Schizosaccharomyces pombe: one gene and its partners. The main gene of each other region encodes a partner of the protein of the gene in region 2 in a complex. Each region holds a gene or a part of one and is shown on either strand. Other genes may lie near its edges.

What was found.
Region 1: mrp7 (region 2) and img1 share a complex: the UniProt entries of both Schizosaccharomyces pombe proteins name them as parts of the mitochondrial large ribosomal subunit.
Region 3: mrp7 (region 2) and mrpl1 share a complex: the UniProt entries of both Schizosaccharomyces pombe proteins name them as parts of the mitochondrial large ribosomal subunit.
Region 4: mrp7 (region 2) and mrpl19 share a complex: the UniProt entries of both Schizosaccharomyces pombe proteins name them as parts of the mitochondrial large ribosomal subunit.

Annotation. Positions count from the first base shown.
Region 1 is NC_003424.3:1,636,138-1,643,677, reverse strand, and holds img1 (mitochondrial 54S ribosomal protein bL19m), read right to left. Parts: upstream 1,984-7,540; 5' UTR 1,924-1,983; coding exon 1,375-1,923; 3' UTR 746-1,374; downstream 1-745. Other genes in the region: anaphase-promoting complex ubiquitin -protein ligase E3 subunit Apc11, read right to left, coding at 26-168, 386-508, 552-570; erg8 (phosphomevalonate kinase), read left to right, coding at 2,793-2,800, 2,867-4,139; structure-specific endonuclease catalytic subunit Slx1, read right to left, coding at 4,179-4,895, 4,937-5,035; SPOM_SPAP27G11.14C (uncharacterized protein), read left to right, coding at 5,547-7,540. UniProt on the Schizosaccharomyces pombe protein: Component of the mitochondrial ribosome (mitoribosome), a dedicated translation machinery responsible for the synthesis of mitochondrial genome-encoded proteins, including at least some of the essential transmembrane subunits of the mitochondrial respiratory chain.
Region 2 is NC_003423.3:2,856,863-2,864,443, forward strand, and holds mrp7 (mitochondrial 54S ribosomal protein bL27m), read right to left. Parts: upstream 5,899-7,581; 5' UTR 5,763-5,898; coding exon 5,301-5,762; 3' UTR 4,617-5,300; downstream 1-4,616. Other genes in the region: morphogenesis protein Mor2, read right to left, coding at 1-4,378; Lid2 complex histone demethylase subunit Lid2, read left to right, coding at 6,953-7,581. UniProt on the Schizosaccharomyces pombe protein: Component of the mitochondrial ribosome (mitoribosome), a dedicated translation machinery responsible for the synthesis of mitochondrial genome-encoded proteins, including at least some of the essential transmembrane subunits of the mitochondrial respiratory chain.
Region 3 is NC_003424.3:1,788,513-1,796,180, reverse strand, and holds mrpl1 (mitochondrial 54S ribosomal protein uL1m), read left to right. Parts: upstream 1-3,729; 5' UTR 3,730-3,937; coding exon 3,938-4,699; 3' UTR 4,700-4,781; downstream 4,782-7,668. Other genes in the region: poly(A)-binding protein Crp79, read left to right, coding at 1,209-1,329, 1,415-1,592, 1,684-2,158, 2,230-3,588; protein saf5, read right to left, coding at 4,903-5,556; ftp105 (Ubp5 interacting protein Ftp10), read right to left, coding at 6,489-7,668. UniProt on the Schizosaccharomyces pombe protein: Component of the mitochondrial ribosome (mitoribosome), a dedicated translation machinery responsible for the synthesis of mitochondrial genome-encoded proteins, including at least some of the essential transmembrane subunits of the mitochondrial respiratory chain.
Region 4 is NC_003424.3:3,203,499-3,210,644, forward strand, and holds mrpl19 (mitochondrial 54S ribosomal protein uL11m), read right to left. Parts: upstream 3,043-7,146; 5' UTR 3,037-3,042; coding exon 2,602-3,036; 3' UTR 2,464-2,601; downstream 1-2,463. Other genes in the region: npt1 (nicotinate phosphoribosyltransferase), read left to right, coding at 863-2,095; cytochrome c oxidase assembly protein Cox16, read left to right, coding at 4,022-4,252, 4,372-4,482; ribosome biogenesis protein Nob1, read left to right, coding at 6,403-6,604, 6,820-7,146. UniProt on the Schizosaccharomyces pombe protein: Component of the mitochondrial ribosome (mitoribosome), a dedicated translation machinery responsible for the synthesis of mitochondrial genome-encoded proteins, including at least some of the essential transmembrane subunits of the mitochondrial respiratory chain.

The DNA of each region.
Region 1 (7,540 bases), on a different chromosome or scaffold from region 2:
GTCTTATTCGATACGTCAATCGTATTTATTGTGTTTCAGACTTTTCATTCGTAGAATCTGCTACCACAAAAGTTTGACGGTCCATCGGGCATTGACCTTGAGAACCGCTAGTAGCTAACCAGTTTTGAATACAGTGAGCATGAAATATATGCTTGCATTTCCCCCAAACTAGCGTAGTTAGCCTTTAATTAATTCTGTGAAAGCTGATGCCCATGATAAACTCTTTTTAACAAAAACAAAGTATGAATATTAGATTAAAGATTATTTGAACACAACCAACCCAATTGCGCAACAAATTTTCATGCTGATACCCCCTTAGGATGCAAAGTATACAAGTAAGCCTCCGCAGAGCATATTCAGGAAATAAATACAAACATATTCTTACCTATGGGGCAATTGTCTCCAGGACTTGTGCATTGAGGGCAGCATCCATCGAATGGAACACGACATATACCACAAACGTCGTCTTTTGGGGTATCCCACGTCCAGTTAGCAATTGCATGGTATCCTAGTGGTTAGAAAACAATTTTATTTCCAAAATATTCGCTTACTCAGTATTTTCACCTTCATAGTCTTTGTATATTGTATTTGAGATCTAATTAAATAAACATTAGTGTTTTTTGCTAGCTAATGTTTTACGTTCTACCACGGTATTAAGAAAACAATTCAGGCGAAAAACAAAATGTCGTAAGAAGAGAAGAGTTAGTAGATTTACAGTTGATATTTGGCTTTAGCTATACATCTTTTCGTTTTCTGAAAGTTTAAAATTTCTAACTAAAACTAATTTTCATTGGACTGTAACAAGCCGGCTACATTCGACATGCTAACAAAATTTTTATATTTATGATACTTTGCTTCTTTAGCTTATAACATATTGTTGAGCTCAAGTTTTATACTTTTTTACATGAATAATTTCAAATATTATTCAAAATAATCAAAGCGCAGAATTATGAAGAGGCAAGCCTACATACAGCTCAAATTTATAAGAAAAAAGTAGAGGTTTTGATTCATAGTGCCTCACAAATTCATCTGGGAAAATTAATGGCAATGACATGTGACTTGTCGATTCAAAGAATGAGAAGGGGGTAAAAGGCTCAAAGGAGGTGATTCATTGCCGTTTCATGGAATCGATAATACGTGTTTTGACAAACAGGCTAAAGCCGAAATATACATCCAAATCTCTAAATCTGTTCCAGAAAACCAACCAACGCCTCTTATAATGCAGTTCTAAATGCAATAGCCTGTAGAAAAAGACAAGTAGATAGGGAAACATAGAGTGTAAACGAACTATAAATCATACAGCGCTTCTTGAATAAAATCATGAAAGATTCGCAAAAAAAAAGAAATTTACTTGCAGAAGTTGCAATGATTGTGTCAAGGTTTATGTTGATTTTGTTCAATGTATTTTCGCACCAGTGATTCAACAGGTGGAAGACGAAAGCGAGGTTGACGCAAGTAACTTAAGTATGCTCTTCTAGGTCTTTTAGATAGACCATTTTCTTTGAGGACAACAATACGTTTAATTTGTGGAGAGTAAATTGGTAACAAATATTCGACTCCAACACCCATTACCACGTTTCGTAACAGGATTGAACTTTTTGGTCCACGATGCCGAATTCGCAGTAGATAACCAGCAAATCTGTTGACTGAATCTTTTGATGGGTATTTTGAGTAGCTTTCAACCAGTAAAACCGCGCCTGGTCTTACTCGATTTGGCTGCGAGCGATGAAACATTTTGAATCGCTCAGATTGCTCATCCAATACTGAACGGCACTTTTTTTCGAATAATGATAACACATCTTTGTGCTTTGGACCTGGTACTGGCTTTGGAAAGTTATAAGGCCGTTTTAACGATCCAATACCTCTCTTTTGTAGCCATTGAAAGCCCAATCCTAAATTGAAAAAGTGTTTGGCATTAAACATGTCTTCCAAAAGTCATTAAATACCGTTCGTTAGTAAGAATGACAAAACACTATATTCTACAGAGTATCTTTTTAAGTAAGTACGATGGTATTCAAAATGAATTAGCAAATTCTGCACAACGTATTTCGTTATATGTTATTTATTGTCAACCTTCCATTACGCTATATTAGACTATGTAAGTTAATACAGTTGATTATATATTTTTATATGATTTATCCATCAAGGATTGTGTTTCTGACCTTGAATGTTCAAGGCAATAGAAAGATTCCTGTTGAACCCGAATGAATATACGTGTTCCAATTCAGTTACATGGCTTCTCATTGTAGTTATAATACTATCAATAACTCGCTGGTATTCAGAAAACTTCAATAGCAAGATTTGCTTTTTTCTTTCCACCTTAATGTTCCATTTTCGTAAAAGATATTATTTTATATGCAATCAATTATATACTCTAATATGAATATGCGTTAATGTAATCTCTGTATTCCTGATTTCGAACTCTCCTTAATTAACGTTAATTTTCTATACTATTTTCTCCACAAGCAAATCTTGCGAAACGAACGATACGATAATGATTTAGAAAGTTGATTTACTCAAAGCAACTTTAGTTTCTGTATAACATTTGATACTCTTTGATCAGTTCTTTTTTTATTTTTTTTGATTTTTAGAATAACACTTTTCAGGAGCTACTGTTCGAAGATAATCCTCTCTTTTACTTTGACTGATATATCATTTCTCTAAATTCAACAGATTATCACGTAAGATAGAAGTCATACATTCCTTTCTATTTCCTTCTCAGGTCCTATAAAAAAGTTACGACACACAAAACATTATAGAGATATCCATATTCAAGACAAAAATATATCAACATGAAAGTGTAAGTTGAAACCAGTCTTTTTTCTTTTTTTCTGTTTTGTCCATCTCTAACTAGCGTCTTTGGCAGGACCTGCTCTGCTCCTGGTAAAGTACTTATAGCTGGTGGATACATTGTTTTAGATCCTCAATACAGCGGGCTTGTTATTGGTTTAACTGCCAAAGGGTACGCTTCCACAACGACTTTGGACGATAAATGTGGAACGGTTCGTGTGAAAAGCCCTCAATTCATTAACGCTGAATGGCTTTATAATATTGATTGGACTGTATCTCCTATTCGAGTTCATCAGATATATGAAAACTGTGAATTGGAAAAAAATCCAAACCCCTTCGTTCAACTGGCACTTTTTTATGTAATTAACTACTTTTTTTCCACGGGGCGACAACCTTTATGCTGGCAAGATCTTCAAGTTACATTGCAGGTAGATAATGCCTATTATCACCAACCACAGTTAAAGCCTGATCAAACAAGCTATCCAAAATTCAATTTCTTAAACTGTACTTTAGGTCAAGTACATAAGACTGGTTTAGGAAGCTCGGCAGCTATGATTACAAGTCTTATAGGTTCATTATTTTTAAGTCTTAGACGACTAACAGATGACACTGGTGACAAATCTCTCAAAATTGATGATTCAACCAAAGTCATAGTTCACAATCTGGCACAAATTGCCCACTGTTCTGCACAAGGAAAAGTAGGAAGTGGGTTTGATGTTGGCGCTGCCACTTGGGGAAGTTGTATTTATAGAAGGTTTGATCCTAAATTAATTGAACAACTGCTGGTCCCATACGACGAACAAATAAAGAACATAAATTTTTCCACCGAACTGAGAAAAATAGTTTCTAAAAAATGGTCAGATGTTGTTCCATTTCAATTGCCTGCTACTTATTGTTTGCTAATGGGGGACGTAGCTGGTGGCAGTAGCACACCGGGTATGGTAAAAAAAGTACAGCAATGGCAAAAGGAAAATCCAGAGGAATCTAAGAATTGCTTTGATGATTTGTATTCAAGAGTGCTTTCCATCAAAAACTGTTTTCTTTCTTCTGAAAGCTTAGACTCTGAACTTCAAAGTCAATTTCGATCCATTCGTCGTATTCTTCAAAGAATTACCGTTGAAGCAAAGGTTGACATAGAACCTTTAAAGCAAACAAATATTTTAGACAACATAGAGCAGTTGCCTGGTGTCATTGGTGTGGGAGTTCCTGGAGCCGGCGGATTTGATGCACAATTTTGTTTGGCCATTAACCATACGGAGATAATCGAAAATGTTATCAAAACATGGAAAGATGATGGGGTAGTACCCATGGACGTTTCTCCTGCTTTCGATGGGCTAGCCGTAGAATAAACAAGACTAACTATAGAGATTGCTGACACAGTATTGGCGCTATTTTTCTAGTTCTAGATCTATGATTTCTATTCTATTTTCGCTTTCAAAATCTCGTTCGTCAGTTTCTAAAGAAGTAGTGAAAACCGTAGACAGGAACTCTCTCCATCTCAATACTCTTTTGCATTTTGTACACATTCCTTCGATTGGAAGAACCTGGCATTCTTCTGTCAGAAAACTGCTTGCAAGGCAAGTTAAATGATTTATTGAATTGCAATCCGTAAAAGGGCAATTAGCCCGCAATTCATCAGATTCGATACATTCGTAGCATAGGTTACACTTAACAGGCTCTGATATTGTCTTTCTTAAACATAATTTATGATCGTAAGTTTTTTGGATTACTTTTTCGTGAAACCCATTTAACCATTCTTCGTCGAAGTATACATTGATATTACCATAAGTTTTACCAAGTTGATTCCATTTACTGAAAGCAGTTTTATTTAGAAATGTGATGTTTAATGGCCATCTTCTCCACGTATCACTGTCAACCAAATGCTTTAAACCTTTAAGACAATACATAATGGTTTTTTGTTTTTTTGAACGGAAATCACAATCTTTAGTGTACCTCGAGATTCCCAGATTTTGCCAATTCCATTCGAACTTTAAAGCAGACACTTTGTTAGGAAAGCCGTAAACTAAACATGAAATCGACCAAGGGCGCCCGTGTTTAGTTTTTGATGCACCACCAACTATTTCCCCATTATGTTGCCGCAATCGCTAAAACAAATTAGTTTCCTATAATAGCACAAAATACCTACTCTAGGTGGATCTGGTGTGGAACCGATATAAACAGCTCCACTTGATTGTGTCCTATTCGACTTTAGTAAATAACAGCAGTAGAAATTGCACAAATCCATGTTTCATAATTCTTTTCGATAGCACTTTTCTCTTAACCCGTGGTAATCGAACAATTAACTAGTGGTAATTTTATAAGCTTGTTAAGTTAATTAATTGAAAGTATAATCTAAAAGTATTTTTTCTTTCAGCTTTGTCTTCGAATAATAGTAAGAAAACAATGTAAAACAAAAGGTCACCGTTACTGTCTTTAGGGTTATCCACGTAAATCTGTAAGATTAAATTGTTATTTGACGTGCTTCATTACTTTCTCTTTCACTAAGGATTATTTATAATTCAAAAAAAAGGAAAGAATTACTGAACCTATTTAAGCACCGTCTAAGCGTGTTTTTTTTGTTGTATTAAATTCTCAACAAAGCTACTTCAAAGGACCTACCTTGTCCTCTCCTTCATATACACTAATTAAGAAATCTTTAGATTTTTAATACTCGGTCGTCAATACTCAATGATTGCTAACAGTATACGATAGTTTTCTAAAAAAATCCAGAAAGCCACCTTTTTGAGCGGCCCGTAATGAACTTGCTTTCTCATCAGCTGCGCGACAGATTTCCAATCAAAGCAATAATATCGAAGGCCGATGAGGTTATTTTTGCAAATTATAAGCATACTAATGATTTCTTCAAAATTACAGCAACCACCTATGCGTTGATAAATTCAGTCATTGTTTCAAACAATTGCTGCAATAGGCGATTTCACTCAACTTGGCAAAAAAAAAAACATGATGACCTTACTGCTACAGTCCCCGTCATTGATTTTAGAAAGAACCAAAAACTTACATCTATTGTTGTAAACGCAATTCAAGCTATCTATTGGTATGCCAGACGATCCAATTGCTTAACTGGTATAAATGAAGCTGAATACATTTGGAAGAGCTTGATTCCTGAAAGCATTTTTTACCATTTTGTTTCTCTTCAAAGTTTCATACGAAAATATTTGACTGATGTTTTTTACTGTTCAGCTCAGAAAGTTATTTTGCTTTCAACTGACGATAGTGTCGTATCATCTGAAAAGTTGTATATAAGGATTGCTTCCATACTTTCCAACGCCAATGACAAAGTTTCTTTCAAAGAATCATCAATCAATACTAATACTGTCTTCAAAGATGTTTACGTTGAAGTTAGTTCGCACAATGACGAGTTTTTGTTGAAAAATTCATCAAAATGCTGGGCATTCACAAGCTTACTCGTTGATCCTTTGCACTTCATGTTTTCTCAAATAGTTTTTGAAGATTTATCCGGTAAAAAAATCATGAAATTTGAAGACACAGCTGTTAGCACAGCAAGCAATCATTCAAAACAATTCACGAAAGGAAATTTATTAGCAATTAAGTATATTGGAGGTCTATACAACGCTGTTTACTTGATGGGTTTAAAAAAAAACTTGCTTGCATTTGTAGAAAATGAAAAAGATGACTTATTTGTCGCAAAAATTTTTTTATTAGCATATTCATCTTCCAAAAATCGAAAGAAAATTGTTCCAGTGGACGTTTGGGATGCCATGATTGACTCTTTATACGAAACAATAAATGTCGAGGAGACAAAAAAAGAAACTTACAAGTTTACTCGAAGCATAAAAACTGTGATTCCTAATAAATTAATATCTAACGAGTCAATTTCAATATTATCTATTCCTGAATCAGAAAAGACTATATACCAAAATTTTGATTTATATGTTTCAAAGTTTAACGTCGCCAGGAAAGAGTTATCCGAAAAAGAACTTTTCAATAATTCTTTTTCTTCTTCATTTAATACGTTGCTCGCTAGCTTGTTGGTTAAGCCAACCTTATGTCTGATTTCTTATTTAATGATTGCAAAAAAAATGGTTGTATTACAGGAGGCAAACCGCTTATTTCTTAAATCATTTGCCCATCCATTCCATTTGGAACGATACCATCTACATGCTGTAGCTGCAATGGGTGGTCTGTATCAAATTATGTCTTCTACTCATCTGAAAAATTTGTTTTTCTGTTCCAGGAAAGGAATCGCTCTGACAAAATTACATAGTCAGCAATACAATGAATCAACGTTGTTTCAATACTTGTCAGAATTTGTTCATCAGCGACAAAAGTCGCTTACACCGAAACAGAGAATCGCTATACAAGAACTTATTTTAAAATTTATGCAAAGAAATTTTGAAAATAGCCTTTACCACCAATCATTCAGTTCGCACTGGTTTATATCTCGACTATTGATCAACCCGATTCGAATGCTCTGTTGGCATATTACAGATGTGGGGAAAACGCTGGATCTCGGAGAAGCAGAGAAGTTACTAAAATATAATCACAAACAATGTCCGTACATAATTTACCCATCAAGCTTAAAGGCAGTGCAAAAGTTAGGTGGATTACAGTGTATCATTAGGAATGATAATTTGAGCCATATATTCAATTGTTCAAGGAAATATATCAGAGTACAAAGATATTCTGACGATGATTTATCAGAATCCAGTCTTCTACCGCGGTTGGTTAATTTACTTTTGTTTTTTGAAAATTCAATGGGGGAGGTTGC
Region 2 (7,581 bases):
GTAAAGATAACTGGCACGGGGAGTAGGAAATATGATTTTTTTCACTGGGAAACAAATCCTCTAAATTTGCAACATAAGTTGAAGATAAATCCTCAAGACTAAATTTATAAACCTCTTGGTTTTCATTCGATACATTAGCAGGACAAACAAAAGACAGAAGGGTAGAGTAAAGATCAGAAAGAAGTTCTGTTTTCGCGAGATAAATAGTAATCTGTCTTGTACAGTCAACAAAAGAAAAAGTTTTCCTTTGGTAACACTGTTGCATTAAAAAAAATAAGATTACGGTCCAGTTCGACTTGTGACGCGAAAGAGCTAACGAGGTCCATAAAGCCTCAATTTCGTTAGGTAAATCATTAGTAAACTTTGCAGTGACTTCAATCAAATCAATTAGAATTACCGCCGTAAAAGAATCGAAAGTTTTGTTTTCAACATCCATCTTTAGCTCCAAATTTTGTAGCCACGGAAGTAAAACCGTCACCAGTCCACGTCTATGTTGATGACCATAATTGAAATAACGTAAACATTCTGAAGTTAAAGTGAATGAATCTTCAGTAAAATCGCTAGCAAGCTGTACAGAAAATAAGTATTGAGGTTTCAAGTATAAAGCGGGGTTGCTTGATTCCAAGAATGTTTTAAATTCCATCAATGCAGTCATAGTAAAATTATTTAGATGAAAATTTCCAAGTAACTCAAATGCTTTTAGCCTTACCGAAAGATTATTCGTGGAAAGGTTTACCAAACACAAGGGCAAAAGCTTTGGTTTACTCAAATTGTTTGGATTTATTTGAATAAGCATTTCAGAAAGCGACAAGAAATAGTAATTAGAAATAGTCTGCGAAATCTCTTTAGAAAAGCAACGGTTGATTACCTTCTGCAGCAATACTTCATTGCTGCTATTCTCTAATAATAAGGCGGTCAGGCCTTTTCTAGCCAGCCCCACTATAGCCTTGGAGGGAGAACCAAAGACAGCAGTAAACCAATTAAGCAGTATCTCTATGTCGAACAAAAACACTCCTTCAGTTAATTCCTGTTGTAGCTTTGCTGTACATAACGCGATCATTGCCTTAATAGCCAAATACTCGAGGTTTTGCTTTCCAGCTTCAAATGAAGCTAACAACTTATCACGCTCACGAATATCTTTATTGTTACCGCGTATATGAGCTCTCATTAGCTCTTCGCGATTTTTTGTAATTGCACGAGCAGGACCAAATCCAGTCCATTCATCCAATAATTTCCAACACGAAGCACGTCCCGAAAAAGGAAGAACCTCAGACGACGGATGCAAATTCTGAACCAGTAATACTTTCTCAAGTAATTGAGAAAAGTAGCACCTTAATTTCAAATACTTCTCATCTGCTTGGACATTAGGAGTACTCAAAAATCCCTTTAAATCTTTCAAAAATTCAGATATAACAGACAACGCTTCACGGTCTTCATTTAATAACTCATGCAATAAGAGATGTGATGTCATTGCAAAAATGTGAGCTATTTCAGATCGCAATAACAAATCAGGTTTATTACGGCGCTTCACAGAAGGGAAGTTTAAGCCTGCAAAAATAAACTCTTGATGATCCTGTTTGAGCACAGATATATACGGCTTCAAAGAACGTACTAATTGTGGAAAGGCGTTTACGTTTATACAGCCAATAGCAAAAACAACAGCTTCACGTATAGGAGAAAATTCAGTAAAAATGAGAGGCAATACCATACTAAAAAGACTTTCTGCGCTAGTTATCTTTATGGTTTCCTGTAAACCACGTAAATGGTTTCCAGATTGAACAGCAGTAAGTGTCCTCCTAAGGTCAGTGTGCGAATAATCCACGTTAGAAGTGTATGTAATTGTACAACATGCAACAATAAGGTACAGCTTCCACTGAACTAATAAAAACTCAGGAAAATTATCATTTTTTACAGCAGACTTCAAGTTAAAGTTTAATTCCGAAGATTCAATACGCGATAATAATTGCATAGTAATACTCGGAAGTTTCTCACAAACAGTATTTCTAAGCAATGCCATAGTGGTAGGAAATCTTTCAAAACAAACCTTTATAAAGCGAGGAAATACATTGTACCATATTGAAATGTCAACGCCGCTGTTTGACGTAGCTAGTTTCAAAAGCATATCCTTGGTTCCATCGTTGATAAACTTGCGCAATCGTGACCTTTCAGCAGCAGTCGGTAAGTGACTTTCGACACTCAAAATTGAAGAATCGCAATCTTTCAGAACATCGACAATTGTCGGTTCAGAATATATGTCACCAACTTCAACTTTATCTGAAGAAAGCATCAAATACTCCGTATTTAATTGCTTAACATCATTAAGCAAAGCCACTGCAAACTTACGGATTCCAACTGATGGTGAAGATAAATGAAGTACACCAAGTGATTGAATTTCTTCAATTATCGTCCAACTTTGAATGTCATCATAATCTTGTTTTACAGAGGCAGGAGTATTGCTTTCAGAACTTGCACACGATTTATTACTAAGGACAGAATTCCTTTTTTCAATAACTGCTTCTTGCTGACTGATCCAAATTCTAATAACTTCATGGTAAGTTCGTAACAAGTACTCTGAACCCTTAACCAATTTCCGAGAAAGACAAGATATCACTGACTTCGACATTTTAAGCCCAGAAGAAAAGTATATCAAAGAGTTATGACAAACAGTATGGATTATTTTGTTTGAACAATTCAAACACTTAACATATGCATCAATTACACGTTGTTCTAATTTTCCCATGAGACAAGGAAACACTTTGAGTGCATTAATGTACAAAGCAAGCAAACTGGTTGCATTTTTTGAATCAAGGTAACAGTTGGTATTAGTGGAGAGCTGAAAAACGAGGAATAGAAGCTTTTGCGAAAGATTATGAACAAATTGTTGTAATGGAGTTCCGACGGCAACTTCATGTAAATCAACGAACTCAAATTCAATATATTCGAATATAGTACTATCCGATTTTTTGTACTTCATGTCGTGCAGAATGTAATAAACAGACCGAACAACAATCATTAATTTCTCAGGGCCAATATTCTCGGTAAAAGCATCAGTAGACAAAGGTGTTAAAATCTCTTTGATGACAAGCTCTGGAAAATGAGCACCGACTACACGCACAATTTGTGCATAACCATCCAATTCTTCTAAAGTGGCGAATGGAACCACGCTAAACTTTTTGCCAATCGAAAATCCCGATTTCAAAATATTAGAAATATTAGAATTCATTATGGAAGGTTCTTCCTTATACTGATTAGAGTAAGTCCATACAACACGAGAAAGATGGGGTAGACCGGTGTTCCTTAATCGTCTGTCTTTAACACGAAAAAAAGCAGCATCAAGGGAGGATATCCAATGCTTAAGGAAGAACTGTTTGGGAGAAAGACATAGAAGTGTACAACAAAAAGGGAAAAAAACATTCCAGTATTTAGTTTTCGTACACATTTTCAGTACTACAGGATATATTGTTTCAATGGTGCGCGACCACGCAGGAATATTCACCTCAAATGTAGCTCGACTGATTAATGGTCGAAGCAACTGTTCCATAAGATATGCATATTCGATTTTCAAGGCTGTGTTGGCTTTCATGAAAAAGGAAGTCAATGATTGCAAAAAAGCAATTGACTCTTCTAAAAGAGTTGTTGGATAAAGCTGCAAACGCAAATAACGCATTGCTCTAAGGAGATGGACAAGAACCGTTTCTTTTTGCCTGGAATCACAGCCAGACTTTTCCAAATGCTCAATCTCTTCAATAAAACGATCTGATACCATGACGAAGTTAAATCGAGACATACTTCCCACAAGGAATGCAAAACTTTCCCAATTAGCAAGACTGAAATAGGATGACGAAACTGGTAAATTTTTAGCGCTTAGTAGCTGATGAAAAACGCATTCTAATAAACAAGATACAGTGCTTTCTTCTAAGGCATTTGACGGTATCGTTTCAGCAATCTCAGTCAAGACACGGCAAAGTATATAGATAGAAATAGAACTCCTCCGCTCATTAACAACCCGAGGAGTACCACTTGAACTTGTAATATCAACACGAACTTTTCTCCAACACAATAGGGATTCAATGACGGCAACCGGTTTGCTACTAGCTAAAGCTACAAGAGCTTGAATACATCTGTCAAATTCATTATCTTCCCCCTTTTTAAGAAGGAGGATAGCTTCTTGCTCTCCAACGTTGAATCGTACAGGTTCAGCATTCTTACCTTCGTTGGCATGATAACGAGAAAGAAATGATATTTTTTGTTCAGAGAGTCGAACAAACTGGGTGAAAAGTATGTGAAGCGCGTAATCAACTGCCGTATGGTCCTGCTTCTCAGAATACAAAGGACCATTTTCGACAGGTTGATCGTGAGCAATTTCATTCAAGCTCATTCAGGTTGGCATTATATGGTTATCTACTAAATAGACGAACTTCAAAGAAAAGGAGTATGCAAAGTAAGGGTTTGAGAGCAATACCGCTAGCCTACAGAAAAGTGAAGAAAAAAGTGTATAAAAAAGCTATCTCGTTAGTTTTTATATTTAAGCATGCGTAAGCAAATTGACTAGCAATCGATTGTTAAAATTTAGGCGTGAATGGATTCAAAACTAGAAGTTTGTAATGGCTAGCACTCCGAACAATAAAACCTCTCAGCACACTGCAACAATTTTTGCACATAAAGGAATATAACGCACTGCGTTGTAGTAGGTGTGGTACTATATAGTAGGTGATATACTTAAAAGTCTAACTTCAAAATGCCCAAAATAATTTTTAAATGAAATGTAAAAAAAGAATAACCTTCTGTATGTTTGGTCAAAACTTTCTGAATTCTATGTCAGAAAAGATAATATGGTACAAGTTCAGTTTTTTTTAATGATTTTTAAACCGTGGCAAATGCGATTTTTACACGCTAACTTTTTGGAAACGAATTATAAATATTTGTTGAAAAAACTTGAAAGTTTAAGAACAACATATACAATGCTTAATTATCAAATTATTCGCGTGGAAAAAAATAGAAGCATAAATCAGTAGAAAAAGAAAGACATATACGCAAACTTGTATACGCCCAAGACAAAGTAACAAAATAAGTTATAAATTTAATCATGCATTCACATTTTTGAGCATTAGACAGTAATAAACTACGATGACCGTGACGGGAGTTTAAATAAATAATAAAAAGAAGAAAATGTTATTTCGTGCAACCTTAAGTTGAAGGAAATCCAAAGGCATTGATGCATGTAATTATTAGTATATCCTTTTGAAGTATCTCTAAATAGTGAGCATTGCAGGTATGATGATGAGAGTTTCCGCATGGTTTCATGAAACTTGAGCAGAATTAGCAGAAGTTATATACTTATTGACACGGCGAATTGTAGGTTCATCTTTGGGCCTTGGTAACGTTGTCTCTTTGTCAAAAACAACACCGACGTATTTCCTCCGTTTGCGAAGAGACACATCCATTTGAAAAAACTTAACATATCCGGAAACAAGAGAATATATTGTGTGATCTTTACCTAGACCGGTATTATCTCCGGGATGAAATTTTGTACCACGTTGTCGAATTAGGATCTCACCAGCCCTAACGAATTGGTTTTCAGACCTTTTTATGCCGAGACGACGACCAGCAGAATCACCTGTGTTTTTCGATGAACCACCGCCATGTTTAGTAGAAGTACGAATAGGAGGGAAAGTGAGAATATTTGATGCTTTCTTATAAGCTAAACTAGCTTTAAGTAATTGAAAATTGTTAACACGAATAAAAAGCCCTTGATTGATCATTGCACGGTGAACTTTGCATCAAATGAAGTACGTATTGTAAAAGAAAAATGTGTTAAACTGATTTGGCAAATAATTAGTAATGTAGAAGGATACTAAATATTAAAAAAATTATATCTTCGTCGAAATATTGGTTTATACTAAAAGGATGGATTCGTTGTAACCAATCTTCGAAAGTTTCTACCTTACATTTCCTTTATCCCAATTTACGAGTCGTGGTAATCGTATAAAATATTCTTATTTTACAATAGTGTAGCCTTACATTTTCTGTTTGAAATTCCTTACTCCTAATATCTCGCTAAAAGAGTACCATTACCTACAATTTACTTTGTTTATATTGGAAGCATGATCGCTAATGAAAAAAAAAGTAAAAGACACTAAATTTACGTCGACAATTTCTATCCTTCTTTTTAATCATGGAAAATTCACTTGGCTCTTCAATTCAAACAGCATTAATGACTGCATGAAAGAAATATAACTTTTTCAAAGTTTTAGCCTTTATTGTATTGTCTTTATTACTCAATGATATTCAATTTTACTTGAACTTTTAAAGTATGCAGCTGGAATCACATATAATAGATTTTTCTGTGCTACTAATTGATGTCTTAATGCAATTTCAACTGTTTTGTTCCTCAAAGCAAAAATTTATGAATAAAAACGGATGTGCTTCGTGTTACTAGTTGGTGGCAGGAACCAGCAAATTTCATTTTCTTGTGAAGAAACCATAAATTCTACCTTGACAGCGATATGCTTCAAGTTATACAGTATATGTGCTGCCTTAGTTCGCAGGATAATGTATCAGGATATTGTCAAGCTTTAACTGGATTTGATTATACTCGGAAACTTCCTTAGGTTAAAAACTTTTAAAATTGGCATAAAATCTTTTTCTCGTGGATCTTCCAGCCATAGCACGACAGGGAGTACTAATTAAAGTACGTTTTGCTTAGCTGTACCTACGTTAATGTCGATCTGAAGCTTTAAGCTACTACTTCCACCTAATACTGTCGTGTCGATCCCATAACGGTGTGTTATCGACGATAAATACATCAATGTACGCGTTTTTTATTTTATGTAATTTATTAGAATATTTTTTAAAAGTTGTAAAATTTTTTGGTATATATTTTTAAAACAGGGTGGTGTTGCATTTCTAAATATTTCTCCATGTATATTGATTATGCACTTTTCCGTTTTCCATGATATGCCAGCTTTTGTGGCACGAACATAATTCTATGGGATCAGGAAGAGAGAAGAAAATAAGAAAGCTAGGAGATAACTTTTCATTACCATATCTGAAATTTGATTGTGACCATAATGACAAAAATTATCGCGCGTCAAATAGGCCATTTGGACTTTCAACTGGACTGTCAGTGCAGTTGAATGCTTCGAACATGACTGATCCCTTTAAATTTTTGTTAGATAATTGGCATACAATTTTCAAAAATGGAGCAATTAAGCTTCTGCCACCTGAGGGATGGCAAATACCTGTTGTTCTTGATCAAGGCGCTTTTGAGTTTCAGTCAAAACGCCAATGTTTAAATAAAGGTTGTCTCAATTATGAAAAAAATTATGATTATTTTAAGAAACTTAAAGCATTTCATGAAAGTCGCGGTTTATATTTTTATCACCCACCGATTATCGGGAATCGCCCAGTTGATTTTTTGCGTTTGCGTAATGCAATCTCAAAGTTTACTAATTCCGGCTCTTCATTAAATAATGAAATTTTACATAAAGTCATAATCTATTTGCGTCTTGAAGATACTAAAGAAGTGAGGCAGGTTCTCACTCGTTGCTATGATCGATACATCAAACCATTTGAAAGGGA
Region 3 (7,668 bases), on a different chromosome or scaffold from region 2:
AAATACACAATAAAACATTTACTAATAAGTTAATAATTCTTAAAACAAATACTATAGTGAATAATTGTTGTCTGATGGCACCCGAAGGTTGTATAGTAGTTGTGTCTATTGAGTAGTGTCGTAGATGTTATATCAAAATACCTTAACCCAGCAGTATAATATTCTTGGAAAATCATTGGATATTGTTAACCCTTAAATCTGTATATGTTTATTTATTTGTTCAGTCAAACAATCATAAAAACAAAAAAACAAAGAATTTTGCATTTTGTTAATTTAGACGAATTCATTGTTCATAAACAGTGACAAAATCCGAGGTTTATACAAGTATTTGAAGAAAACGGTATTCGACAGAATGAAGCTTTAAGTCTAAAATGGATTAGAAGGAACTGAAATGAGCTACATAAATTGCTCTTAATATTGGAGAACTGCTAACATTTATAACCTTTTTAATGATTACACTAAATCTTCACCTATTGCTTTTCACTTACTTTAATGGTCATTCGATTCAAACTTATTTTATCTAAATCTATTACCTTTTGCCAGTAAAATACTGTATAGTTAGTTAGCAAAGAATATAGGCGAGTAAAGCTCTAAACTATCATACTTCTAAAATCAAAGAAAACCAAAGAAAAAAGCAGATGAAAGAATTTAGTAACATCTGGATTTTGAGTAATAAACTGATTGACCTAACTTATTGACAGGTTGTGCGATATCAGTTGGTTTGCCAAAAACAACAATAATTGAAAATTTATGAATGGATTCACCAGAATATTAGCCTAATTGCTTTTTGATTCATTTAAGGAAATTCAACTTTTAATTTGAAATCAGCGAAAGCCGAAAAAAGGATGGTATGAATTTGAAATATTTTTTAATGCGAGCAGGTAATATTGACTTTAATAATAAAATAAAATAAAATGTCATTATAAATGCGATTTGAGGATTTAGTAGAGATATGGATAAAACAGATATGAACCAAACTGCATGAATATTAGGAAATCAAGTTGTAAATATAAAACAAGCATTTTTAAAAAAAAACAAAAAATATTACTCTAAAAATGTTAAGAGGTCAATTTAAGGTTTGTTTACTCTCATTTGTTATGGTGGTAATAGTTTCAGTCATGCATCATCGAAATGTAAACAAACAGCGATCCTATATATACCAAAAACAACAACCATTCCTTTCCATCACACATCTTTTTTGAGATAAAATGAACAATTCAAAACTCTCTGTCCCCGGACAGTATGAAGATGAAAGCAGTACTATATATGTAGGAAATATAGATTCCCGACTTTCTGATGAAGAAATCATCAAACACTTTTCAAAATATGGTATGAACACACAAGTCAAGGATAAAAACACGAGGAAAAACATTAGAAAACATAAATAAAAGCGATATATTAATCAATTCTTTAGGACAAGTAGAATCCATCTTTCGTCGATTACTTGATAGTTTTTATCCTAAGGAAAAAGCGAAACCTTTTAAACCTCCTAAAAATGGAGTGCAATATGGGTTCGTCAAATTCGTTAATGCTGAAAGCATTGAAGAAGTTCTAAAGGACGCTAAAGGAATGACTCTGGGCCAAAGAAAATTGTAAGTGACTGAAGGGAAAAATTAGAGACAAGCATTACAGAAAAAAAAATCGAAAAATCATTCTCCAAAAAATTACTAACCTAAAAAAAAGGACCATTAAAGCAAGAGTCGTAAATCCTGCGAAACTGACAGACAAAAAATTCAAACCTAACGATACGTCAATCACTGCGAACGTGTTCAATCCTAGCATCCAAAACAATACAGATGAGGAAAACGTTAAGCCAGGACTCAAACAGTCTCAGATTAAGGAATTTATTCCAAATGTCGAAGAAAGAAATTGGGAAACTGTGAGAGGCATAAATTCGCGTAACCCGAAGCCAGAAACAACGCTTACCATACCGTCTCTTGGTTTGGAAGATATTAGCATGCAAGTTGTACCAAATGCCTTCGCTTCTACGTTACCCCTTAGTATCTTGAACCTACCTGCCGAAGTCACACCGATTGACTTATATAACCACTTTAAACAGGCTGGTGTAGTAAAAGGGACGGCGGTCAGCCAGTTTCTTGACCAAAGAGGGTTCCGGTATGGCGAAGTGATTATGGATTCAGTTGAATCATGTCAAAATGTAAGCTCAATATGAAGAGAAAACCCCAATATTTGCATAATCTATTTCATGATACTAACCTCATTATTAAGGCAATAGAAAAATTAAATAACGTTCCATACAAAGGAAGCATTTTAGAGGTCAGTATAAAAAATAAAGCCTCTTCTTCAGTGAAGTCAATTCCCACAACGCCGACTGGTGAAAGCTTATGGCCTTTCCCATCGGAAAACGCTAACAAAACTCAAATAAATATCGAAAATGCTACATGTTCGAAGATGACATGGATTATGGGCTCACCAACTAAGGAGAAAAGCCAATGGGGTAGCGTTTCAACTACCGGTGTTTCAAATCAGCAAAATCATCCAGCCGCTTGGAACCCAGATAATAAACCTCAGTCAATCGTGCATTGGGACTCTTTACGTGAAAGCTCTCCAAGTATCCCTAATTCTCCTATTGACCCTTCAAATCTATACGTTAAAAATTTAGATGATACCGTCATCACATGCAAGAGTCAGCTGGAAGATTTATTCTCACCCTTCGGGTCGATTTTGTCTTCCATGTTAGCATGCTATCCAAATTCAGGAATCTCCAAAGGTTATGGTTTCGTAGCGTTTCGTCAAATAGAGGCTGCCGTTAGAGCCAAAGACACATTGAATGGAATGATGGTTGGGAAAAAAAGGATTTTCGTTTGCTTCGCGGAGCGAAAGTCTGACAGAATTCGTAGATTGCAAGCATTTTTTGCAAACAAACCTACTTCAGAACAAACAGCGCAGCAAGACAACAAAGCTTTGTTCGTCAAACCAGAAAGAAGCTCTACTGTTACCATCCGAAAGCCAATAGAGTCTTCTACAAACAAAATCTCTGAGAATCCCACGACCCTTTCAAGTAAGGTTGAAAATAAGAATGAGCCTAAGACTGGTGAAAACAAAGAACCCAGTCAGACAAATGAATATGTTAACTGTAAGCAAGAAAATAAGGAACTTAGTGGACAGTTATCAGGCAACTTGGATATAAAGAAAGAAGCAGGAAAATTGAGCCATGACGGAGAACAAGGAAACTTGTTAAAACCATTGGTATTCCATGCTAACACAAAACTAAATAACCGAGGGTCTGCTAAGATGGGTTCAACAGCCACCAACTTGAAGAAGATACAAGACATGCTTCACAACAAAAAGCTGAGTAATGCATACTTTGTGCCAAGAGCAAGAGCAACAACCTGTACAACTCTTACGTACGTAACAGTTGAGCCCTCACATTTCCAAGATGAGGACTGTAATGAGTCAACGAACATGCTTTCACTTGTCGGGTACATGGACAGCTATCCAGAAGCTACATCCAATATCCAAAAAATGAATTCCTATCATATTAAAGATTCAAATAAGGAAAATTTTTTATCAACAACAAAGGTTAACAACAATTCACCAACAACTATTCAGTTGACGCAGATTTAACAAGATGCGGTGAAGATATAACTATGAAACAAAATTCATAATGCTATATCCCTCAAAACTCCGATGAACAAACTTTTAACTCCTTAAAATATATACATCGTGAACGGATGGATTTGCTAGTATAACCCTACAGTATCTTACAACTACCACAACGTGGAATTTAAACGAAACCGTTTATTTTTAGTCTTTAATCAAAAACATTATAAGGAAATTTGATTTGAAAGATAATTCTTTATTAATTCGAAAGTTGACAGCTGGATCAGATTTGTTTAGAGATTTATGATTTTAGCAGGTTCATTGACTGACATCCAGTAGCTTGGTGACAGTTTGACGAACCAGATTAAAAACCATGAGTTCATTAATAGCGTTAGGTAAACGGCAAACATTATTGTCACATAATGAATTTTTAAATTTTAAAAATCAAAAGGGTTTCTGCAAAAGGTTTATTTCTCAACTAAACAAGAAATCCAATTTTCCCGCTCTTGCGATGACAGTTCCTGAAGCCACAAAATATCTCAAATCTGTGAGCATTTCTGTTCCATATGTTGGGTCTTATATGCTTTCAATTGCTTTAAAAAGTAATCGACGCGCTCCGTCAGCTCGTGGTCAAATTGCCTTTCCTCATCCATTTCAAGAGCCTCCTAAAATTTGTGTGTTTGCTAAAGGTGCAGCTGCAGATGAAGCTTTAAAATTGGGTGCAACCTATGTTGGTGCAGAAGACTTAGTAAAAAAAATTCAAACAGAGCCCCTTGAATTTTCAAAGTGCTTTGCTCATCCCAACTCGGCAGAATTACTACCACAAGTTGCTAAATTATTAGGATCAAAACGTCTTATGCCTTCAATAAAACGAGGTACTATATCAGATGAATTGAAGCCACTCATTGAATCTGCCCTCACAGCTGTTGACTATCGGCAAAATGATGCAGGCTCGATAAATTTGCCGGTTGGAAAACTAGGGTTCAGCGACAAGGAGCTACAAGAAAACATCGAAGCACTTGTATCAAATGTTCGGTTTACTTTGGCCAAACTGCCTGGAAAAGTTAAAGTTACCGTAAAGCATGTTCATCTTTCCGCCTCACATGCTATTGCAATTCCTCTCCAGTATAAATAATGATTAAAATGTTATTGCATGGGAAATTTAGTCTACAGTCTTGTCATTTGTAATATGTATTACATGATTAATTTTGTACAAATTAGTGAAATGTGTAATGATATTTTATCTAGTAAATTTAGAAGCCTGTTTATATTTATTTATTATCATAAACTACTTTTTAAAAAGTATGAATGAAACGTTAGAATACAACATTATGAAAGTTACTCTGTGCGATGCCATTTCAGAACAGGCGATTCCGGAGAATCAAATCTGTTATCACAAGCTGAGGTATCTACGTTTTCAGCCGTAACCCACTGGTGATTTGGATCAAAAAATAAGGACATAGGGTTTCCCATACTCGCGTTTTCAACATCATTATCTGAGGAAAAAGTGTCCGGATGTAGAGATTGGCAAGTACAAAGAGCCTGGTAACATGAATCAACATCAGTAACATATAATGTTAGTTCTAAAAAATCATCTGTGAATTCATTTTCATCTTCGGTAGAAGGAGCTTCATGCAATGTTCCTGACGACCGTTCAAATTTAAGAATGTGATCTAGCAAGGGTCGAATGGCTTCACCCTCTAATTGAACATATACATATGGCTTATCCTTGCTTTGTTTCGCATGAAGAGTAATGGTTTCATATGGAATTTTCCAGCCAGAATTCTGTTCTTCATCAAAAAGGATAAAGCTCTGTGAAGTTACTAATAAAGTTATCAATTTGCCCAAAGGAAAACTTTCCTCATCACTTCTAATTTTATAGGGGACTGTTTTTTCTTCAAAATAAACGATTTCTTGATTTGGCAACAACTTTTCACCATTTTCAACTTTGCGAATTAGGTCCTTTGGAAGTGAGTCAATTTTGGTAATCATAATTACTTCTTGCTTCCAATAGGTATTTAAGCATAAAAATTATTAAAAAACAGTAATAAGGCCACCTCTACCTGATAATTTATTGAAAGAAAAGGTTTACTGTGCGTTGTATTCTTTTGAAGTACTCAAATACAATATCTTCGCATATTAAGCATTTCGCAAAATCGAAAATATATTTCTACTCTTAACCACACGAATTTTTTATAAATTGAACCATTATGCCAAACAGGATATCGATTTTACTCAAATACTTTTGATATGCAATTTTCGTAAATGACAAGCTAGTTATTCATTGCAATTACAAAACAAACTCATGAATATAAATAGTTTTGTGGAAAAAATAAAGGAAAGGTCTAAGGTCTTTATGAAGTAATCCTCGTTACCCAAAAAATTGGGACTCAAAACTTTTGAAATTGGATTTTTTATTTTATATAGTAAACAGATTTATAAGTGTAGCGAAATAAAGCTAAGAATTTTTTAGCAACCAATTCATTGCTATATAAGGTTATACATTGATTTGGATACATGTAATGAATTAGCATCAGTGGATCGTTTCTCTCATAAAGGTGGGTCTTTCTAAAGTATACGAGATTGACTTTCAAACACCAACTTTCCAAATCAAACTTCGAAAGACTTTTTTAAAGCTAGTGACAAGGTTGGAGCAGAAGATTCTCCAAGCCAGTTTTTAGTTAATTAATAGAATGAAAACAAATCGAAAAGTTCAAAAATCAAAATTAGCAAGGCAAGATTCTGGTCATCAGTATATAATTAAATGATGGCAGTATGTGGATGCAAATCCTCCAAGATAATTTTTTAGTGAACAATTTAATCAATAAATTTTCAAAGTAAGATACCATAACATGCATGCAGGGTTTTCTTCAAATATTTTTTAGGACAAAAGTATACTTTAATTTACGCATTGAATTTAAGAATCACTTGTTGCGTAAACTGGAATCGTGGTTGACACTACTTGGCAGCTGTAAATACAGCAAATCGAGTTTGTCAAGTATAGATTTTGTGGCATTCTCCATTGAGTTAGAACTGTTTTCAGGAGATGCAACTTTCATGATATTTCCATGTTGTTTGTACACTTTAGAGGTTGTAAATAAAGAGGGAGTAGCCATTAAACCTTTTTCATCAAATGACAAAGTATAAAGCCAAACAAGACTTTGAAACCAATTATTCATAGGGACACTCCAAATAAAGTAGCGAAAATTGGGAACTCGAGGATGTACATCATTTAGCACAGAGTTAGCTAATAGTTTAACAGCTTCGTCAGTAGTTGATAATTCTTCATTCATTTTCTTGTATACAGGTAGAGAAAACTGAGATATAATGGCTAGAATAGAATCCAATTCAAGTCTTGAATGCCAAGAATTAAACCACGAGTTGGAAGGTGCAAACAAATTTGAGTCAATTTCTAAATCTTTTCCAAACGGATTGGATGCACATTTTTTAATAAGTTCTGAACTAGAAACATTTTCCGGTATTTTCCCACGCAACTTTCTAGACAGAACCAATGGAGAATCTGAGAATACATCTTGAAGGACTGTCGGGACAGAAATCGAAACATTTCTACTCGAAATATGTGATAAGCCACCGCGTGAACTACTGCTACTAAAAGGGGAGGAAAATTTATCTAATTCATCGAAAGGTGAATCATCTTCAACGGTAGCAACTTTTTTAAAGTCAGTATTTTGGAGTGGTGTTCCATCTAAGGAGGTGTTATCGGATGATTTAGATTCAAAATCACTACTTCCTTCCGAATTGAGGGCCACTAAAGGCTGTGATTTAGTCTGAGCAACGGCAGGAAGTTTCATAGAATTAAGATTCAAAAAAACTTGCTGGAGGCGAATAATAGAATAACTGAGATTAGGGTTTTGAGAAAACTTGTTTTCAACTATACTAGAAATAGCCTGTAACAGGTATTCAAGAAGCAGATGATTGCGCGGATTACGAAAAAGAAACCGAGGAGATGAAAGAGATGAACAGAGTTGCATTAATTTGGCACACGTAACGAAACTTAGGTTTTCAACAAATGGTGCAATATTGCATATGGTCAACAATATAACAGGAGATAAACTGCTAAACGGAGATCTCTTCACTGCTGAA
Region 4 (7,146 bases), on a different chromosome or scaffold from region 2:
TATACAAGAGTCAGGATAGGCAAGTACTTACGGAAAGGAAATGAAATTTTTGGAATTCTCTTTTTTGTCCTGCTAAAATTGCAATATATTAGAAATGGTCTTATGAAAAACACTTAAGAATATCATATTTAGTTGTAAACCCATTTTAATGAATTTTTGAAAAGAACTTTAGAAAATATGTGCCAGTATAAAGATTGAGTTTCAATTATCAATTAATGAAAAGCAAATTGAAAAGTTATTCCTAATGCCATAAAAAGGCGAACAATTTTAACATCGTAAATAAAAGTAAGTAACAATACCATGATGTTACTTGAAAAAGTAAATCATCGCCAAGATACAAAATGTCAATCTACCAAGATCAGATTCGTCCTCAAATTGGTTTTGTTTGCTACAGGCTATTAAAGTAGTACAATTGTTTGTTGAAGGTATGCTCGTTTGTTAAAAATAATATAATTTGATTTCCTGCAATTTTGGCGGGTATACTTTTCGAGTCTGCATTATAACATGCGCATGTAGTATAAAATATAATGTTTCACATCTATTTGACAATTGACACTAACTTGAAAAAGATCCTAACCCTTTAAAATTTTGAAAACCTTCACAAAAAAATTGACTTCTATTTCCTGCGACTAAGAGTGTTCTGATTGAAATTGACATTAGTAGGGGAAATTATAATTAATATCTTTCATATCAAGACACTTTAAATTTTAATTCTATTTGATTTTGATTTCCTTGCGTTTTTAATGCGCTAACGGCAAACGTTCATTGATTTCATAAAAAAGTTTCGTCGGGTTCTATACACCTCAGGTTTTCAACCAATATTAATATATAATTTGAAAATATATCTATCCTTTTTGCTACGATGAGTGAACCGGCTGTTGTCTCTATCCTCGATACGGATCTTTACAAACTCACCATGCTTCAAGCCGTTTTAGAGCATTATCCGGATGCTCAAGTATCATATAAGTATACAAACCGGTCCCCAAAAATGGCATTAAATCAGGAGGCTTATAACTGGTTACGGGAACAAATAAGAGGCTTACGGAATTTACATTTACTTCCTGAAGAAGAGCAATGGCTTCGCAAGAACTGTCCTTATTTAAAGGAATCATTTTATGAATTCATGCATGAGTTCGAATTTGATCCTGAAAATTCAATTTCCCTTAATTATGATTCTGAAACTAAGGATCTCTCAATCTTTATTCACGGCCTCTGGAAGAATACCATTTTTTATGAAATTCCACTGCTTGCTCTCGTCTCAGAATCTTATTTTAAATTTGTCGATAAGGACTGGTCACCTGAGGGTCAGTTTGAAAAAGCTTACGAGAAGGGTAAGCGTCTCATCCGAGCCGGATGTGCCTTTACTGACTTTGGCACTCGTCGTCGTCGTGATCCTCACACCCAGGAAATTGTTCTCCAAGGTCTCATGAAAGCACAAGAGGATTTTAAGGGCCCTGGAAGTTTCCTTGGTACATCTAATGTTTACTTCGCCGCCAAATATAATCTAAATGTCTCTGGTACGGTTGCTCACGAGTGGTATATGGGCATTGCAGCTATTACTCAAAATTATAAACAAGCAAATCGTATTGCTTCCTTAAAGTGGGTCCAAACTTTTGGTACTAGTCTTTTAATAGCCTTAACGGATACATTCTCTACTGATGTGTTTCTCAAATCTTTTACAGCCAATTCTGCCGACGATTTAGCCAATGTTTTCCATGGTGTTCGTCAAGATAGCGGTTGTGCTGAGGAATACATTGAAAAAGTCGTAAAGCACTATAAATCAATAGGTGTCGATCCTTCCACAAAAGTAATTGTTCATAGCGATGCTTTAAATGTTGACAGATGTATCGAACTGTACAAATACTGCGAGAAATGTGGCATTAAGTCTGCATTTGGCATCGGCACAAATCTTACCAGCGACTTCCAAAAAGTTTCCAATCCCAGTGAAGTGAGCAAACCTATGAATATTGTTATTAAGCTTTTTTCCGCTGAAGGAACTAAAGCAGTGAAGATTAGTGACGATATCATGAAAAATACTGGTGATCGTGATGCTGTTATTCAAGCCAAGCATCAATTATGCCTCCCTATAGCATAAGCCATTTCTTTTATTTTCGAGCGTTTCTGCAGTACTAATCTTGGTTTTTTTTTTCTTATTTTTTGATAGATAGACAGAGTTTGAGGCTCTCTTTTATTGAGCTGCATTTCATAAGGCGTGACTTAGAGTAAACATAAAACTCACACTTGAAAATCTTCATTTTCTTTTCTGCTTAGCATATCTGTTTCGTTATCTATATTGATAGTTTAATGCTAAAGGTAATCATTTAGTCTAAGATGTGTTTGTAAACTAACGGTATGCAATTCTTTAATTTTATATGGCAAACGTGTTTTTTTACTTTGCTTGTTTAACGAAGGAATAATATAAAACAACTAAGAAAAGGAGAAAATAAGAAAACAGGGACAACGTTTTAGTCGGTAATAGTAAAAAGTCATATCATTAACTGCTTTTATTCAAGAAAAAAGAGGGGAATAGTTTATAACAAGATAGAAAAAAAAATAACCTCAAGTATGACCAGTTACAAAATGCTCTGGCGTCTCATAAGATTAAGGTACGACTTTGACGCCCATGCTTTTAGCTGTTCCAATGACACTTTTACAAAGAGAAAGAAGCTCTATTCCTTGTAAGCTTGGATCAGTACTTTTCAATTTGGCAATTTCATATATATGCTTCAAGCTTAATTGTCCCTTTATATCATGTAATGGGGAACTTGAACCTTTTTCAAGGTCGAGGGTTTTAGAGATTAACCAACTGGTTGGAGGAGTATGTATAGTGAAAGTAAATGTTCTTTGAGGTGTGACAGTAATTTTACAAGGCACTGGGGTATTTGGCATCCAACCTGCCGTCCGCGCATTAAATTCTTTACAAAAGTCTATGCTCTTCAACCCGCGAGCACCAAGGGCAGGTCCAATTGGAGGCGTAGGCGTAGCTTTTCCTGCCGGTACAATTAATTTTATGATTGTCGTTCTAGTAGAAGCCATAAGGTTAAAGAAGAAAATACAGTTGTAAGTTGTATGTCTCTCATGCAATAAAGTAACATGTTCTTCCTTAAAAATAATTGTAATTAGAATAATAACTAATTTGAAATATTTGGGTGAATTAATTGTAATGTGTTTACTTATTTGTAATATTAAAGCTTTTAATAGCAGTCAGAAAAATTCCCGAATAGACCAAATGTGTCCTTCTCTTCTGCTTGATTGAATAGAAGTAAAAGTATTGACATTAAATAGGCAACTCAGATAAATGGAAAAGACGTTTTCATAAACGTTGTTCGTTTTAGGATTTTTTTGAAAAATTTTAGTTGATTTTTGAATCTCAAATACGGATTAGTTAAAATGTCGCAAAATTTTTCATTTGTTGAACAACAATAGCGCTGAATTGAAGCCGTTTAAAAGAAGCAAACCAAAATTTAGCTACATAGCTTTTCAAAGTTAACTCCTTACTATCAATTAATATATTAAGTTTTTAGGGATTGGCAAATATCCTAACTAAAAAGCATGATTATTTCATTTGAATCACAAGCTGAAATTAAATGGTCTTTTCTCAGCTATTTTATTACTTTCAATAAACATTTTACATACCATTTTATGGTAAACAAAGTAAAACACATGTTTACTGGAAGTCACAGTCTGTCACTAGCACATGCCATCGATATGTTTCTTTTTCCTAATGTGTATTGTAATTAAAACTATAAAGGGTTTTCACCTGAAGTGCTTGGGCTATGTAGGAATGCTGTCACGCGATGCAGCTTGAATAATTAGTAGAAATAAAAAGATTTCAAAGTGCAGATTTCTATTAAAACTCTACTCTTAAAATTAATTATTACAAACCAACGACTATCTTATTAATTTCCATCCTAACATGCTGAGTGAAGTTTGCCATAATCATCTTAACCAACTTGCTATTTACTACACATTCTTAACAATCCATCGTTTTCAGCGAATGTAAGGATGTTAATAAATTAAAATGCTTTTCTATCGATTTAAAAGTTGGTATAGGCTTCAAGCCAAGAAAAGTCCGTTTATTTACGTTGGATTGCCGTTTTTGAGCTCAGTATTATTAGTCTGGTCATGCTTGATCCCCATTTCCCAAGTCAAATTTAACAGACGAGATGAACAAGTTAAATCCTTGTCCCGGGATGCAGAGTTAGACATTATTAAAAGAAGAAGAAAGGTCGACGTTAATGAAGAATATTATGTAAGTAAAGTGCTGATCTTGTTTTACAATATTTAAGTTTTGGCAACCAGCTGCAAAGTGCATTTGCTTTTCGTGAATTTACATTCACCAGTTCCTTTTTTATTAACCACCTGTTATAGAGGATCTTATTAGATCAGTTGAATCTACAGAACGAGGAGTACGAAAATAAACGTGTAAAGAGGTTAAAAGGGGAGCCTACATGGGAAGGAAATTCAAGCGATAAAGAATGAATAATGAACGATTTTATTGTTATTTTGTTCCTTTATTTTATTATTAATTATGGAGTATTGAAAAGGATACAAGTTTTTGAAGTGAGAATGCTGAAGACGACTTTATGATACAGAGTGTTTTAGCATATGGAAATACTCAAATAAATAAAGCAAGAATTTTTTTTTCTAACATGAGAATAATATTTATGTGGCTCATATATAATTATCTTCAATTTAAAGGACCAAATACTTACACTTAAGCATATTCAGTAGAATAAACTTTCAATGAAGATATTTGAGCGTAAATTTCACTATGAATATGTCACTCAAGCCTAAAAGCGTTTTAATAATAGGAGCATTCAGAAAGGTTTCTTTACTAGTAAACGGTTTATTTTTGGCTTTCCGTTATATATAAGTAACTTGTTAAATAGAACTTGTTTTGAAAGCAATCAAATAAGTGCCATCTCTCTTTATTATATGCTTTGGACCATTACAATTACTAATGATACTAACGCATGGTCTGATTCTATCTACTGTTTGTCTAAGTTGTAAAGAAGCCTTTTCGAATGCGTTTACAACGAAAGATGGAGGAGCTAAGGACAGTATTCAAATAGTGACACACTGTTAATAAGGATTAAATTTAATATTAATTTCTTCTTTATAATGGTAATACTTGGTATTGCATCGTCTTTAAGTCATTGAAAATTATATATATTATCCAGAAGCAGTGAACAAACTAACGCACTATAGTAAACAAAAGATCTCCAATACCCGTAAAAATTTATTTTTAGCGTACGACTAGTTTGGATTCCTGGTGAACGTTCTTATGTATAAGACGGCGTGATATTTGCAAAGCTGATTTATTGCATAGGTGATATTAAAATTATACAAGCCGAGATATCATATTCGATTAATCTAAGTTATCACAAGCGAATCCACTTAGTTAACAATCTACCACAACTTATAAATGGTTTTGTTACTTGCTAACTATGCCGAAGATATGTACATATTTGCTAAATTGAAGCGTTTAACGAGTAAACCAATACTTTTAAACAATAAAGATTTCATCGATTTTTTAGCGTATGCTATATGCAAAAAATTGGTATTTGACCCGCTAATGTTTACTGACATACTTGTGCAAATACTTATGAGGCATGAAATTGAAAACTTATTCAGATGAAATGACTAAATTTTACCCTTTCCCCGAAGAACTGTAAAATAATTATGAAAGTTCAGCTATGTCATCGATCTATTACTCGATGAGCTATTGCACTAAATTGCAATTTTTTGTGCCATATAAATTTGTTCCGATTGATTTGAATCGGTGTTTTGGGAATATATAATGTACAAGAGAAAACACCAACCAAAGTACTTTACTTTCATTTCCTTTTTAAATATCCGCAAACAATACATTGTGCTCTTTCAATAATTTTCTCGAGCTACTTGTTATAGTATACCAAAAAAATGAGGGTTGAAACTAACTAATAGACGCAACAATTAAAAGAATAGTTAAAGCCTCAATAGTTGAACCGAACGGCCTCTTTGAAGCATTTGTAAGCAATGGCCAGATCATGATCAGTTACTATCAAGCTCACCAGATATTTTTAACTCTAAAACATTGGTAGTCACTTGATTGAGTAAAAACATTCATGGATAGAAATTTTTCATTGTTAACTTTAAGCATCAGGTGGAAGATATCTTAAAATTTCAAGTCCACTATGTTCAACTTACATACCGGTTTTCTAATAAAAGCACTTTAAACTCCTGCATTGGAATTCATATTAAATTTTCTGACTATTGTAACTCTCAATTCTTATAATATTTTCATTGCTTTAGTTCGTGATTTATTTACCTTAAATTGTTTACTGCAACATAGCGTATATATCAAACATGTGCAGTAAGTACTATGAAAAACATCAGTTTGAGTAAACTAGTGCCAAAATGAGTAAAAGCATTACTCATCTCGTCCTCGATACAGGTGGGATTATCTGCTCTAGTACTTTATTAAGAAATTCTGCGGAAAGCTTTTATACCATTCCTCGAGTGATTGCAGAAATTCGAGACGAAACATCGAGGAAAAATTTTGAACTTTGGGGCGATCAAGTAATTCAAAGAGTTCCAAAACCAGAATTTATAAAAAAAGGTATGTTTTATTAAAAAGAAAGTTGTATAGTGGTTGAAGAAAGCAACCAGCTAGATTTTATTCTGTGCACAGTCATCTCTGAGAAGTGAAAGCAAGGTGGGTGAAAAAGCTTAATCATATTGGAATTTGATCGCTTTCTTACACCTGCTATTCTTTTCAACTACTTCCATCATAAATACTTTGATTCTTGGTAGCAGCTTTCTAACAAACTATAGTTTCCGAATTTGCAAAGCAAACCGGTGATTACTCCTCACTCTCTGTAACCGATATTCAAATTTTGGCTTTGACTTATGAGTTAGAAGTCGAGTTTAATGGTGGTGACTGGAGACTTCGCAAGTATCCTGGTCAAAAGCATATCAATGGAAAACCCCCTAGTAATTCAAATTCTACTGAAGATGCATCTAAACCCACATCAAGCGATACAGCTTCTGTAAAAGAAACTGAGAACAGTGATCCTAAATCCGCAGAGAACGAAGTCTTGGAAGGTGAAACGACACAACATTCCAATAATAAAGAAGCACATCCGAATACTGAAGAAAATA